3 linked regions of the Xenopus tropicalis genome follow. The protein of the gene in region 1 interacts with the protein of each later gene in a pairwise test. Links are inferred from orthologs where the notes say so. Each region holds a gene or a part of one and is shown in the gene's direction. Other genes may lie near its edges. The genes, in order: arhgef7, git1 and sh2d1a.

Region 1 (3,657 bases):
AAAAAAGTAAGTTTATCTTTGATTTCTGTGGCCTTACTACTGTATGTGCCATGTGAAAAGAGAGTGTCAGACTGATTTTATTCAGTGAATCTTCAGTGGCTATGACTAGAGCCTCACTGTTCAGGCATATCTGTTCTCTGTTTATATGAGAAATGACTGCACTTGTATTGATCTGTTAATTTTTATTGGGGTGACAGGTAAAACACCAGTATTTACCAAGAACATTTCAACTTCCTTCCTAGTGGGTAAAGAAAGGCAATTTGAATATACAAAGTCCATGGTCCTTCCAGTTTGCCTTCTTTCTAATTATTAAGGGCCAACCACTTGATTGATCAAACTCTACTTGATTGACTGAAGTAATGCAGAATATAAAACTGGCTAGAGGAGTACTGTGTCTGATTAATCACAGCAGCTATGTTGTTCTTTGTATTGCAATATAGTTCCCTCTAGGTGGGGGTGTCGACAGTTGGTTATGGGGTGGGGCATTATATTATTGGGGTCATTGACAAGATGTAAATTGAACTCTTCTTACCAAGCACTACTCCCTGGGTTATCTTATAGCCTGTACAAAGATTCCATACATGTATTCTTGCGTAAGTATTTATCTGCTTTGAGCAAACATTTGTGCTGAAGATTTGAGGGTGCTGTGGCCCTTTATGCTTTTTTACTGCTTGTCTGAGAAAAAAGTATGATGTTTATTTTTGTACCTGTTTGTTTCAGGACTATCACCCAGATCGACCAGATATCCAGAAGTCTATGACTGCATTTAAGAATCTCTCTGTAAGATAAAATCATCTATATATTTAGGGAAAGAGTCAGGCTTTGAATGTATACCATGTGTTTAGTTTACATTTATTTTTATTTTGGTGATATGATGTACACTGGACTTGTTCTTGAAATATTTCCTTTTATACATCTGGCTACCACAGGGTGTAGTTCATGCTTAATTACTACTTTTTCACAAGTAGGTTTTGTACTTTTTTTGTTTGTTAGTATGCTTTTTTTAATCCAGCATTTTTTGTCCTACTAAAAAAAACAGTGCAACCGTGCTGTTAAGGCTGATGCCAGACGTGACGTAGGGCTGATATTTTCGGCAAGCGGAAAAACGCTTGGCGAAAATACAGCCCTACGCCTGCTACTTGTGCCTGCACCCAAATGAATGAGATACGCTCGGGTGCAGACACATGTAGCCGATATCCGCATGAAAACGCGAGATAATGCAAAGTCTCGTGTTTTCATGCGTATATTGGCTACATGTGCCTGCGTCTGGCATCAGCCTTAGATTGCTGATATCAGCCTGCGAGATCAGGTGAAACCTTTCTGCGACTCACAGCATGAATGCTGCTGAATAACATATGTACGAATAAATATATTGGCAAAAAAAATAACAACAAATAATGTTTACAAAACCAAGGTTTTCGAGATGGGGCTCTTCGTCACCTGGCTGGAAATCTCCTCTCCCATGGGTGATGAAGTGCTCAACAACACCTGGCTCTTCACTTTCCCTGGAATTGTCCAAAAATGCAGAAGAAGGCATTTTTTAGATTTTTAGGGAATGATACATGTAATGTGTTTTACATGTGGAAATTTTAGGGAAGGTTTAGGGGCAGGTATTGGTGGACACTTCATCACCTGCCAATACCTGCCATGTTAGCACCCTGTGTCCTTAAAGGAGAAGGAAAGTTAAAATTACTGGGAGTGCCAACTGTTAGGCACTCCCAGTGATCACTGTGGGTGCCTAATACCTCTTCTCTACTATACACGTGCTGGGGAAACAGAAAAAAGAAGCGGGGAAAAAAAGATCGCTATTTGGTGCTCATACAGAGGTTACCCAGGGTACCGGCCTAGAATATAAGATAAGTGATTATAATGACTGGGTGGTGGCTAATATTCAGCAGCCCCCAGTGATTTTAACTTTCCTTCACCTTTAAACACCTGCTACTATTTAGTAGAATTTTTATAATCTAAGAAAAAGCACAAACATTAAAACACTGCTTCATAGAAGTAAAAATGTAAACCCGGCACCAAACTCAATCTTATGTAGCAATAAAGCAAGTTTCAAGTAATCTTCACATCTCATGTGCCTCTCTATAACTTATTTCCTTTCATGTTTTTTTTAATTTCAATGATTAATTGTTTATTTAATTGGAGTCTCTAGCAGGAACAGAATATGGGGCATTATTATGAATTATTGCTGATTATGTATAGAGCAATAAATTAATTCCATTATTTAATTACAATATTTATTTTACTCTGTGCACTGAAGCATCAATTATCTTAGCACTTTATAGTAAGAAATTGGTGCTACATAAGCATTTGAAGTCTGGGTTTTATTTATAGTTTAGTAATAACCATTATTTGCTTCTATAGGCGCAGTGTCAAGAAGTAAGAAAAAGAAAAGAATTGGAGCTGCAAATCCTGACAGAAACCATTCGTGGATGGGAGGGGGAAGACATTAAGACATTAGGCACAGTTATATACATGTCCCAGGTTATGATACAATGTGCAGGAAGCGAGGTAATTACATATAGTTACATAGTTACATAGGGTTGAAAAAAGACCATTGTCCATCAAGTTCAACCCATCCGAGTAAACCCAGCACACAACCTATACTAACCAATCTATACACTCACATACATAAACTATATATATACAACCAGTAATACTAATACTAACTAATAATTGGTGCCTGTTTAGAACTGATATCATAGTCTTATGATATATATGTTATTAATTTGTCCATTACTTTTATAGAGCTGCTGATGGTGCATTATGCTCAGTTTAAAAATATGGCATTTTCATACATAAAAGGCTATGTCGGGTGCTTTAAGTTCCCTACTTTTTGGTACCCCTTAAATTCAGTCCCCTTATACTTGAAAGCTCTCAAAGCAGCCCACCATACATTTTTATGTTAATCGCATAATTGTGTCAACTCTTTGCATTTCCAGAATACTATCCCTTAAGAAGTGTTGAAAAAACATGGCACTAAAGAGCCTAAAATAGGCTTGTGTGCAATTGCTCTTTGAAAACTACTTGTAAATAAAGTTGACTATACACTGGCCGAATGAAGAGATACTGATCAAGTGTTGATACACGTGTATAGTCACCTTCACATTCCAGCCAATGGGCTGAACTGCAGGTAGTGAAGTGGAGCTATGGCATTTATTCACTTTCTCTTCTGCTGATGTACTCACCAGCATGGTGCACAGGCACATAAAAGATTGCAGGATGATCAGTTGAACTGCAAGCCATGTATGGCCTTCATCAACTCTGGATGTTATTTACTTCCAATGCATGGATCTTATATGCAGAGCAAAATTCAAAACATGAAGCACCTGTGGTACTGCATATAAGGTTCTGTAATAGTGCATTAATAGCCTGCAAGTAATTGTATCCCTATAAGATTATGAGGTATACATATGAGGATAATTTTGTCTGTAGAAGAATAAAGAAAATGACCTGACCACAATTTTTTTTGATTGGCACCTAAGCTGCAATTTTACACTGGCTGTCTTCCCTACGTGTGCGTGCTCACTTGGTAGCTGGAAGGCAGGAAAAAGGATGCAAGGTGGCGAGTAGCTCGCAACCAGTGCAGTCGCAGGGTCTGCTGTATGGTAGTTACACCATAATTTAGTGTAGTTTATAGGGCAGTCCTCG
Region 2 (3,470 bases), about 84 Mb from region 1:
TAACCTCCACTGTATTTTCTCCTGTGTTTGTGGCAGAAACCTGCCCTGGAGACAGTGCGATCATCACTGCGGCTACTGAACGCTAGCGCCTACCGACTGCAAAGTGAGTGCCGCAAAACCATCCCGCCAGAACCTGGGGCCTCTGTGGACTTCCAACTTCTGACACAGCAGGTCATCCAGTGCGCTTATGACATCGCAAAAGCTGCCAAACAGCTGGTCACCATCACCACCCGCGAGAAGAAGCAGTGACCACTCCAGCAGCCAACTGGCATTTCCATTTCCAAACTGTCAATTTGCAATCAATTTTGCTATCCTTTCATATTTCACACATGACTCCGAGGGGCGGGCACAGCCCGTCACCCCTCTAACCCTAGGAATTGGCTTCCTACATTCCACAATAGCTGGATGAAATGTGCAGCCCCATAACCCCCCTGTATATGTGCAATACTGACCTTGCTCTGTACCATCCTACTGTCTGTACTCTCTGGTTGGACGTTCCTAACAAACGCTAAACGCTGAAGGAATATAATGATTGCAATATAAGTACAGTCCTGTGTGTTCTCCTATTGTAAAGATTTGGGCCTGGGTGAAATTCTCTCCCCATCACTATCATCATATGTAGCAGAACAGAGTATACAGTACAAGTGGTTCTCACAGTACAGGTGGATCAGGTTCCATAATGTACTTGTGTGCAACTGCAGCTAGAATATGTCACCCCAAGCCCCACAGAGCTGTAACCAGCGCCTTTTATTTAAGTTTAAAGGTGCAATCATAGAGTTCCAGAATAGCACAATTTCCTTTTATAGTCTTTCATATTTCCTTGTTCTGATAGTGGTTTGAAGAGACTAATATGTAATCTGTGCTGTAGGATATGACGCGTGTGATTGAAGCTGTGTTGTGGGGCTGCATATTTTGGCACCCTTTAGCTGTGACCAGGCAGCACCCTGAGGCAGGAGGCATCATGACTATGTACTATGCAGCAAATAGACAGCAGCTAAAGGTGCACATTGTATGTTCCCCAGTCTGTTTGCTCTAGAGCAGGGCCCATGCATAGCCTGTGTCAGGCAGCCAATCACATACACTTCCCTGGCACCAAGCAGGGGGCAGCACTCATCCATAGGTGGCAGTTACATGCGCCATGCTGCAAACACTAGGCAAAGCACAAGACTCATGCTGAGCCGGACATGCATTCGCTCCAGCACTAGAGCAGCCAGTCCTTACCATGCAGTGCCGCAGATTGTTATTAATGTGATCAAGGCCAATGCTAAACATACACTGGAATCAATGCGTGTGTATATATATGAATATATACATATAATATTTACTAAGCATTTTTTATGTGAACAGTAGGGGGATTGATGTTGGACGACTGTTAAATAATTGATATGATAACCACTTTAATGTTTTACTCTAAAGAGTAGCACAACGGCAATGCTCAGAGTGGCCAGAAATATAACTTGATGTTTGCACTGACTTCTTAGGCACCCTGTGGCAGACAGGCCCCTACCCTAACCCTGCCTCCTCCCCGGATGTCTATGTATCAAAATCATGTATATTATATATATATATATATATATATATATATATATTGCCTGCTGACGTGAAGTACAATGTAAGGCTCAGTATCCCACTGGCAGTGCTGCTCCAATGGATTTTATGCTTGCCGTATCCTTGGGGCCTGCACTTAGTGTGGGAGTCGCAACATTTTACCTATTGCCGTAAGTAATGTTACCAGTGTCTGCCATAGATACAGCCGCTGGCAGAGACCTTACACTTCTATTGGGTAGAATCCACACACCAACTGAATTTTTTTTTTTTTAAATTAATTTTAAACCCCCACAAGCTGACCAATTATTACCCTGGAAATGACTCATATAATTTGTATCCTGAATTTCACATTCAGATGAAAAATTATCCACTTTCATTAGTAGATTGGCTTTGTAGGAATGCTTGCCTTTGCCAAAACAAGGGATGCCAACCTGTGGCTTTTTCGCTGTAATGGATTGCAGCTCTTGGCAGCCATATTTGATACTGGCAGAGGGCACAGGTTGCACAGTCCCGGTATAATGCCTTATGGAAATCTCTTTACACAGAAGATGGAAATACATAAAAACAAAGCAGCTGTGGCGAGATATAGACCCTGCTGCTGCCAAGTAGAAGTCACTTATATTTTTGGAGATCGTTATGTTTTTGTAAGAAGGGGGCAAAATAAAAAGCTAGATTAAATGGAATAAGAGTGTAGATTCCTCAATTCTCTGTTTCTGTGTGTCACTTTCTGTGCCAAAAAACATGCAAGCAGATGCCCTTTTTTTTTATTATGGCAAGGACTAGTAACGTTGTCTTTTATTCTATGTTAGTGGCCAAAAGTCTATTGCTCTTTACAGCAAATGCCCCTTTGCATTCTTTGGAAAGCCGTAAGGAGCTAAATGGACTGTAAAGGACAGAAAAAGGACCTCATACATGAAGCCATCTTTTCATATTGGCTAGATCTTTCCGGAATAATGTTGCTGTTGGGTTAGCGCCGTAAGGTTAGACTAAAGGTAGTTTGGGCATTGAATGTGAGCAGCGGTCCTGCTGTTCCATCCGCGCGTATCTGCAAGCTTTGTTCTTACACAGTAGGCAAAATGATTGTACTTCTTACAAGATGCTCCCAGAAGCCACTACATGAGAGGGACCCGCTGCCACCCACTGATCTTGCTGGGGATTTGTATTTTAAAAAACCTGCTGCTCAGAATCTCTCAGCTCCCCCCTTGCCGTACTTGTTCATACAGATTAGTGCAAAATGGCCGACCTTCTCCATCCTGTTATTTGTGAGAGCTTGGTGGTGGGTGTAATGTATAAAATTGCTCATATTGTACATTTGTATCAAATTAAACAACTAACAATGGAATGTGTCCCATGGAGTCTGTTATAAGCTGAATTCTTGGAGATTGATCTCTTGGATGGTATTGGTGAAATAAATGGATAAATTGCATTTCACCACATGCCAGTCTGATGGAAAAGTTTGGGTCTAGCAGATGCCAGGGGAACACTACCTGCCTGAATGCATCATGCCAATTGGAAATGGTTGGTGGAGGAGGAGTAATGGTCTGGGGCTGATTTGTTGGTTTTGGCTAGGTCTCTGTTCCAATTATAGAAAACCTAACTCTACAGGTGAATATAGACATTCTAGACCAGTGCTGTCCAACTTCTGCGGTGCCGATGGCCGGAATTTCTCTTGCATACATGGTGGAGGGCCGCTAATGGAAGCCAGTTTTGGCCACGCCCCCGTTTTAAACCACACCCACTTCAAACCACACCCATTTTATCACAATGGGATATCAACCATCATTCATATGTTAAAGAATTATGTCATATTAAGACACACCCTTACATCCATATGCCTCCTCCTCCCCTGTGGATAGCACAGCAACCCCCAGCATATAATTACACACCTTAGGGACCATTTAATGGCTATTTCCAACTGCTAA
Region 3 (4,311 bases), on another chromosome or scaffold:
ATAGGCACCCTAGGGCCGCCCCCCAAAACGTGCCAAAATAAAAATACATCCCGTCCATGTCTAAAGAACAACATCACAGAAAGACATTCAATTGTTTCATATCATTTATGGCTTTTATTACATTCTACCATAACTAAAGCTTCTCCCAGAGTTCTATGTAACCTTGAGGCCATCAGTTTATACTTTCTATCTGCATGTGCTTTAGTTTCAATGGTACCAAAATTTCTAAAGAAGTAAGGAAAAAGAAGGTAACAGAATACCATGCTCTTGCCACTTAGTAACAGAGTACCATGCTCTTGCCACTTAGTAACAGAATACCATGCTCTTGCCACTTAGTAACAGAGTACCATGCTCTTGCCACTTAGTAACAGAGTACCATGCTCTTGCCACTTAGTAACAGAGTACCATGCTCTTTCCACTTAGTAGCAGAATACCATGCCTTTGCCACTTAGTAGCAGAACACCATGCTCTTGCCACTTAGTAACAGAATACCATGCTCTTGCCACTTAGTAACAGAGTACCATGCTCTTGCCACTTAGTAACAGAGTACCATGCTCTTGCCACTTAGTAACAGAGAACCATGCTCTTGCCACTTAATAGCAGAATACCATGCTCTTGCCACTTAGTAACAGAGAACCATGCTCTTGCCACTTAGTAACAGAGTACCATGCTCTTGCCACTTAGTAACAGAGTGCCATGCTCTTGCCACTTAGTAACAGAGAACCATGCTCTTGCCATTTAGTAACAGAGTGCCATGCTCTTGCCACTTAGTAACAGAGAACCATGCTCTTGCCACTTAGTAGCAGAATACCATGCTCTTGCCACTTAGTAACAGAGTACCATGCTCTTGCCACTTAGTAACAGAATACCATGCTCTTGCCACTTAGTAACAGAGTACCATGCTCTTGCCACTTAGTAACAGAGAACCATGCTCTTGCCACTTAGTAACAGAGAACCATGCTCTTGCCACTTAGTAACAGAGTACCATGTTCTTTCCACTCAGTCCCTTATATCAGCACTTCCAGCTCTCATTCTTTCACAATCTTATTATTATACTAAAACCACAGGTACACATTTAAGAGTGAAGGTATGTAACTAGGGCAAAGGATGATGACATTTAGAGCAAGAGTTCAAGAAAAAGGAATTCACAGTTCTGACAGGTTGATGAGAGGGTAATATTTAGGTTACAGATGCCATCAGTTTTAGGAACGATTGTGATGCTTCTTAATATTCTAGGGAACCTTGTTTTATTAATTAAAGGTTGACTGCTTGTTAGCATGTTGCCTGTTTTAGATTGCATGGCTTAAATGCTTCTCTAGATAATCATGATGGAAATTACGTCCACAGTATTTTTTCCTATTATTGTTGTAGGCCTGGCAAGAGTGATTTCACGTCAGCCTACTCGTGCTCATGTGTGTGCTTGTGGGATGATTTCATGAGTAACACGTTGATGTCTCCACCTGTGAGATCCTGTCTCGTCTTTGTTGCATTTGCTTTGAAGAGATTAAAGACAGCGTCTTCCTCCCCTGCTTGTCTAGAAGTGCTTCTTCCATTGCCACTCTAGCAACAGACTGCTCTGCACCCAATGGAGAAGGTATCAGTTTACCATGGAAACATTAGCCGGGAGATGGGCGAGAAGCTCCTGAGCGATGTAGGGAAAGATGGGAGCTACTTGCTACGGGATAGCGAGACCATGCCCGGAATGTATTGCCTCTGTATTCTGTAAGTATCTCTACTCTTTACAGTATCATTACATGCCCTTTACAAGGCATTAAAATTAATTTTCCAATGGGTGACATTACTTAAATATGTCTAGGACTCTTACAGATAGAATATTCACTTCTTGAACATTTATTCCTTGTATCAGTATTTTCTCAATTTCAGCAGATAGAATCGAGGCAGTATTTGGTTTAACTAGAAGTTTCTTGACCCCAAAGTCTTCTTTAGGGATCCAAAACATCAAGGAAAAAAAACTTGTTTTGCAAATATAATCAAATATGCTACAAAAAAAAAAAATATAAAACAATATGGTACAATGACATCTCTACTAGGCCCTCCGTATACCTGAGCACCTTTGCAGTTGCAGAGCCTGCTGTCTCTATCATTATGGCCTCTCCAAGAGGCAGCATAAAAAACTTATCTTTCTGTTAAGAACCTAGTCTATTCATCTTTGGGTTTGCTTGGTTGCTAGGATCAGCAGGACCTGAGCAACCAGATAACCGTTTAATCCCAAACTATATACTAACACATGTAATTCTGTCCCTGGAAATGCATATCAGTAATCTGAACCAAATTTTAAAAACAAAATGTAAGAATTGTGGTTCCCACTATTTTACTGTTCAACATAAATATGAAATAAGGCTTAGTTAGTACTATGTGAATCAGTAGCCATTTTCAGTAATCCATAGCAGCCATTCAGATATTTGCTTTTAACACTCGAACTACTATAGAACAATTATTGCTTATTGCAGTCATTGCAGCACTTATTTGGAATAAAATTAGTGGGGACAAACCATTAATGGGAGACAAAAAAAACCCAAATAGTTCAGCACTGTGCAGTCGAATTTAGTTGAAACCAAAACCCAGGCACTGCTGTGAAATATGTAGGTCACAGGCAGAGAGATATTACATTCCACTATTTCCTGGACTGGGGGGAAAATACAAATGCAAGTCTATATTTGCCTGTCAATCCCTTGTTTATATGGGAAAGAGGAGGATCAAGGTAGACCGACATATTGCCGAAATGCTCCAGTATTGTTAATTGCACTGCATACACTTGTTTTATACATTTCTAATCAGACCTTTTCAGGAGCGTTCTTTCTCATCCATGTGGTCTTAATGCCCAATCTGAGTAGAGTCAATGAATATTGTATTACAAATGTGTTCATGTACAAAGGGACCTTTATTAGCTATTATATGTAGTCACATTCAGGCACATGTACAAACACAATCACTTGATGGAGGAAGTTATTAGAATTTTCTTGCTTTCTAGTAAACTGCTGTCCATTGTAGCTCAGTAGTACAGCTGGGATTTGGTTACAACACCGGCTTGGGTGTCTGCTTCTTTTCTTATTATTATTTGTGATAAATATGTAATAAAATGTATTTCACAGGTCCCTTTGTAGAGGTATATATATATTTATTTATTATAACACTTGTCCTCCCTGTGTGTAATTTTGTATTTTGTAAGATTGTACAGTGCTGCGTACCCTTGTGGCGCTTTATACATAAAGTTATACATACATACATACATACACAGGTCTCAATTTGTATGGAAGTTTAAGGGCATATTCATGAAGGGGTGAAATGGATCTCACCACAGTTCACAGCTCTCTTTATTTGTATGGGAGTTTTTAGGGGCCTATTTGTTAAAGAGTGCACTCTCATTTGCACCCTATAATAAACTGCCTGTAAAAAACTGTAGCAAGTTATATTTCTCTCCTTGATAAATATATACATGGGGTGTAACGTGCCATCTGGAATAACCCTCCATTCCTGAGCCATGGTCACTCTATTGTCCCGTGAAGCCTACAGCATTTGGGTTAACATTTAACTCAGTGGGGCTTTATTCCTAATAGCAGTCACTTACCTTGCTCCCTAAATGTAGGGTTATGTAGTAAAACAGACTAGAATATCTAATTGTTTTTTGTGGGCCACTTTGTCTGAGGAAAATATTGCCCTTAGTACTACATTAACCCTTTATGTGTGATACCATGTGTCAAGTGTAAAGGTTATGTGGCGCCAGTAATGCAGCCAATGTGAATTACAGTCATGTACAATACTCTACATTCATGTGGGTGGGTAAAGAAAAGAAAGATCCTATTTTCTTTCTAGGAGCAGAAGATGCGTTCCCATTGTACACAAGGGGACTTGGTGCATAAAACTGTGATTAAATCACTGGTCTGGGGGGGTCATGTAACAACATTTGCACAAGGTATAGTTGCCAAATCAGACAATCATTTACTGCTCTGCTGTTTGACTGCAGTCAGCAGTGTCAGGAAAAACCCTTCTATTCATCCCCATATAGGATGAATATTTATGTTTATGTTGGCATTAGTTTTAGCGAGTTGCGAATATTCTGGTGACAAAAAAATTTCAAATATTTCTGCTATAAAATAGTCTTTCTTTATGGCATTTAAGTTTGCAACTATTCATGCTATAAAATAGTCTTGTTTTATGGCGTTTATTTTTACTGACACATTTATGGCCATATATGCATTTTCAAAACTTTATTAAGTGATTGTGAAGATACCATCAACAACATAATAAACACATTTTACCAAATCAAACATGTATTCATCATATTATCCA

What was found.
Region 2: the proteins of arhgef7 (region 1) and git1 interact in binary tests that used the Homo sapiens proteins (3 or more experiments, as listed by UniProt). The link is inferred for Xenopus tropicalis from reciprocal best matches to the Homo sapiens genes ARHGEF7 and GIT1.
Region 3: the proteins of arhgef7 (region 1) and sh2d1a interact in binary tests that used the Homo sapiens proteins (3 or more experiments, as listed by UniProt). The link is inferred for Xenopus tropicalis from reciprocal best matches to the Homo sapiens genes ARHGEF7 and SH2D1A.

What each region holds. Positions count from the first base shown.
Region 1 is NC_030678.2:116,924,856-116,928,512, reverse strand, and holds part of arhgef7 (rho guanine nucleotide exchange factor 7), read left to right. Parts: intron 1-720; coding exon 721-780; intron 781-2,370; coding exon 2,371-2,517; intron 2,518-3,657. UniProt on the Homo sapiens protein: Acts as a RAC1 guanine nucleotide exchange factor (GEF) and can induce membrane ruffling. Functions in cell migration, attachment and cell spreading. Promotes targeting of RAC1 to focal adhesions. May function as a positive regulator of apoptosis.
Region 2 is NC_030678.2:32,819,904-32,823,373, forward strand, and holds the end of git1 (ARF GTPase-activating protein GIT1), read left to right. Parts: intron 1-36; coding exon 37-249; 3' UTR 250-2,890; downstream 2,891-3,470. UniProt on the Homo sapiens protein: GTPase-activating protein for ADP ribosylation factor family members, including ARF1.
Region 3 is NC_030684.2:49,046,831-49,051,141, forward strand, and holds the start of sh2d1a (SH2 domain-containing protein 1A), read left to right. Parts: upstream 1-1,363; 5' UTR 1,364-1,585; coding exon 1,586-1,722; intron 1,723-4,311.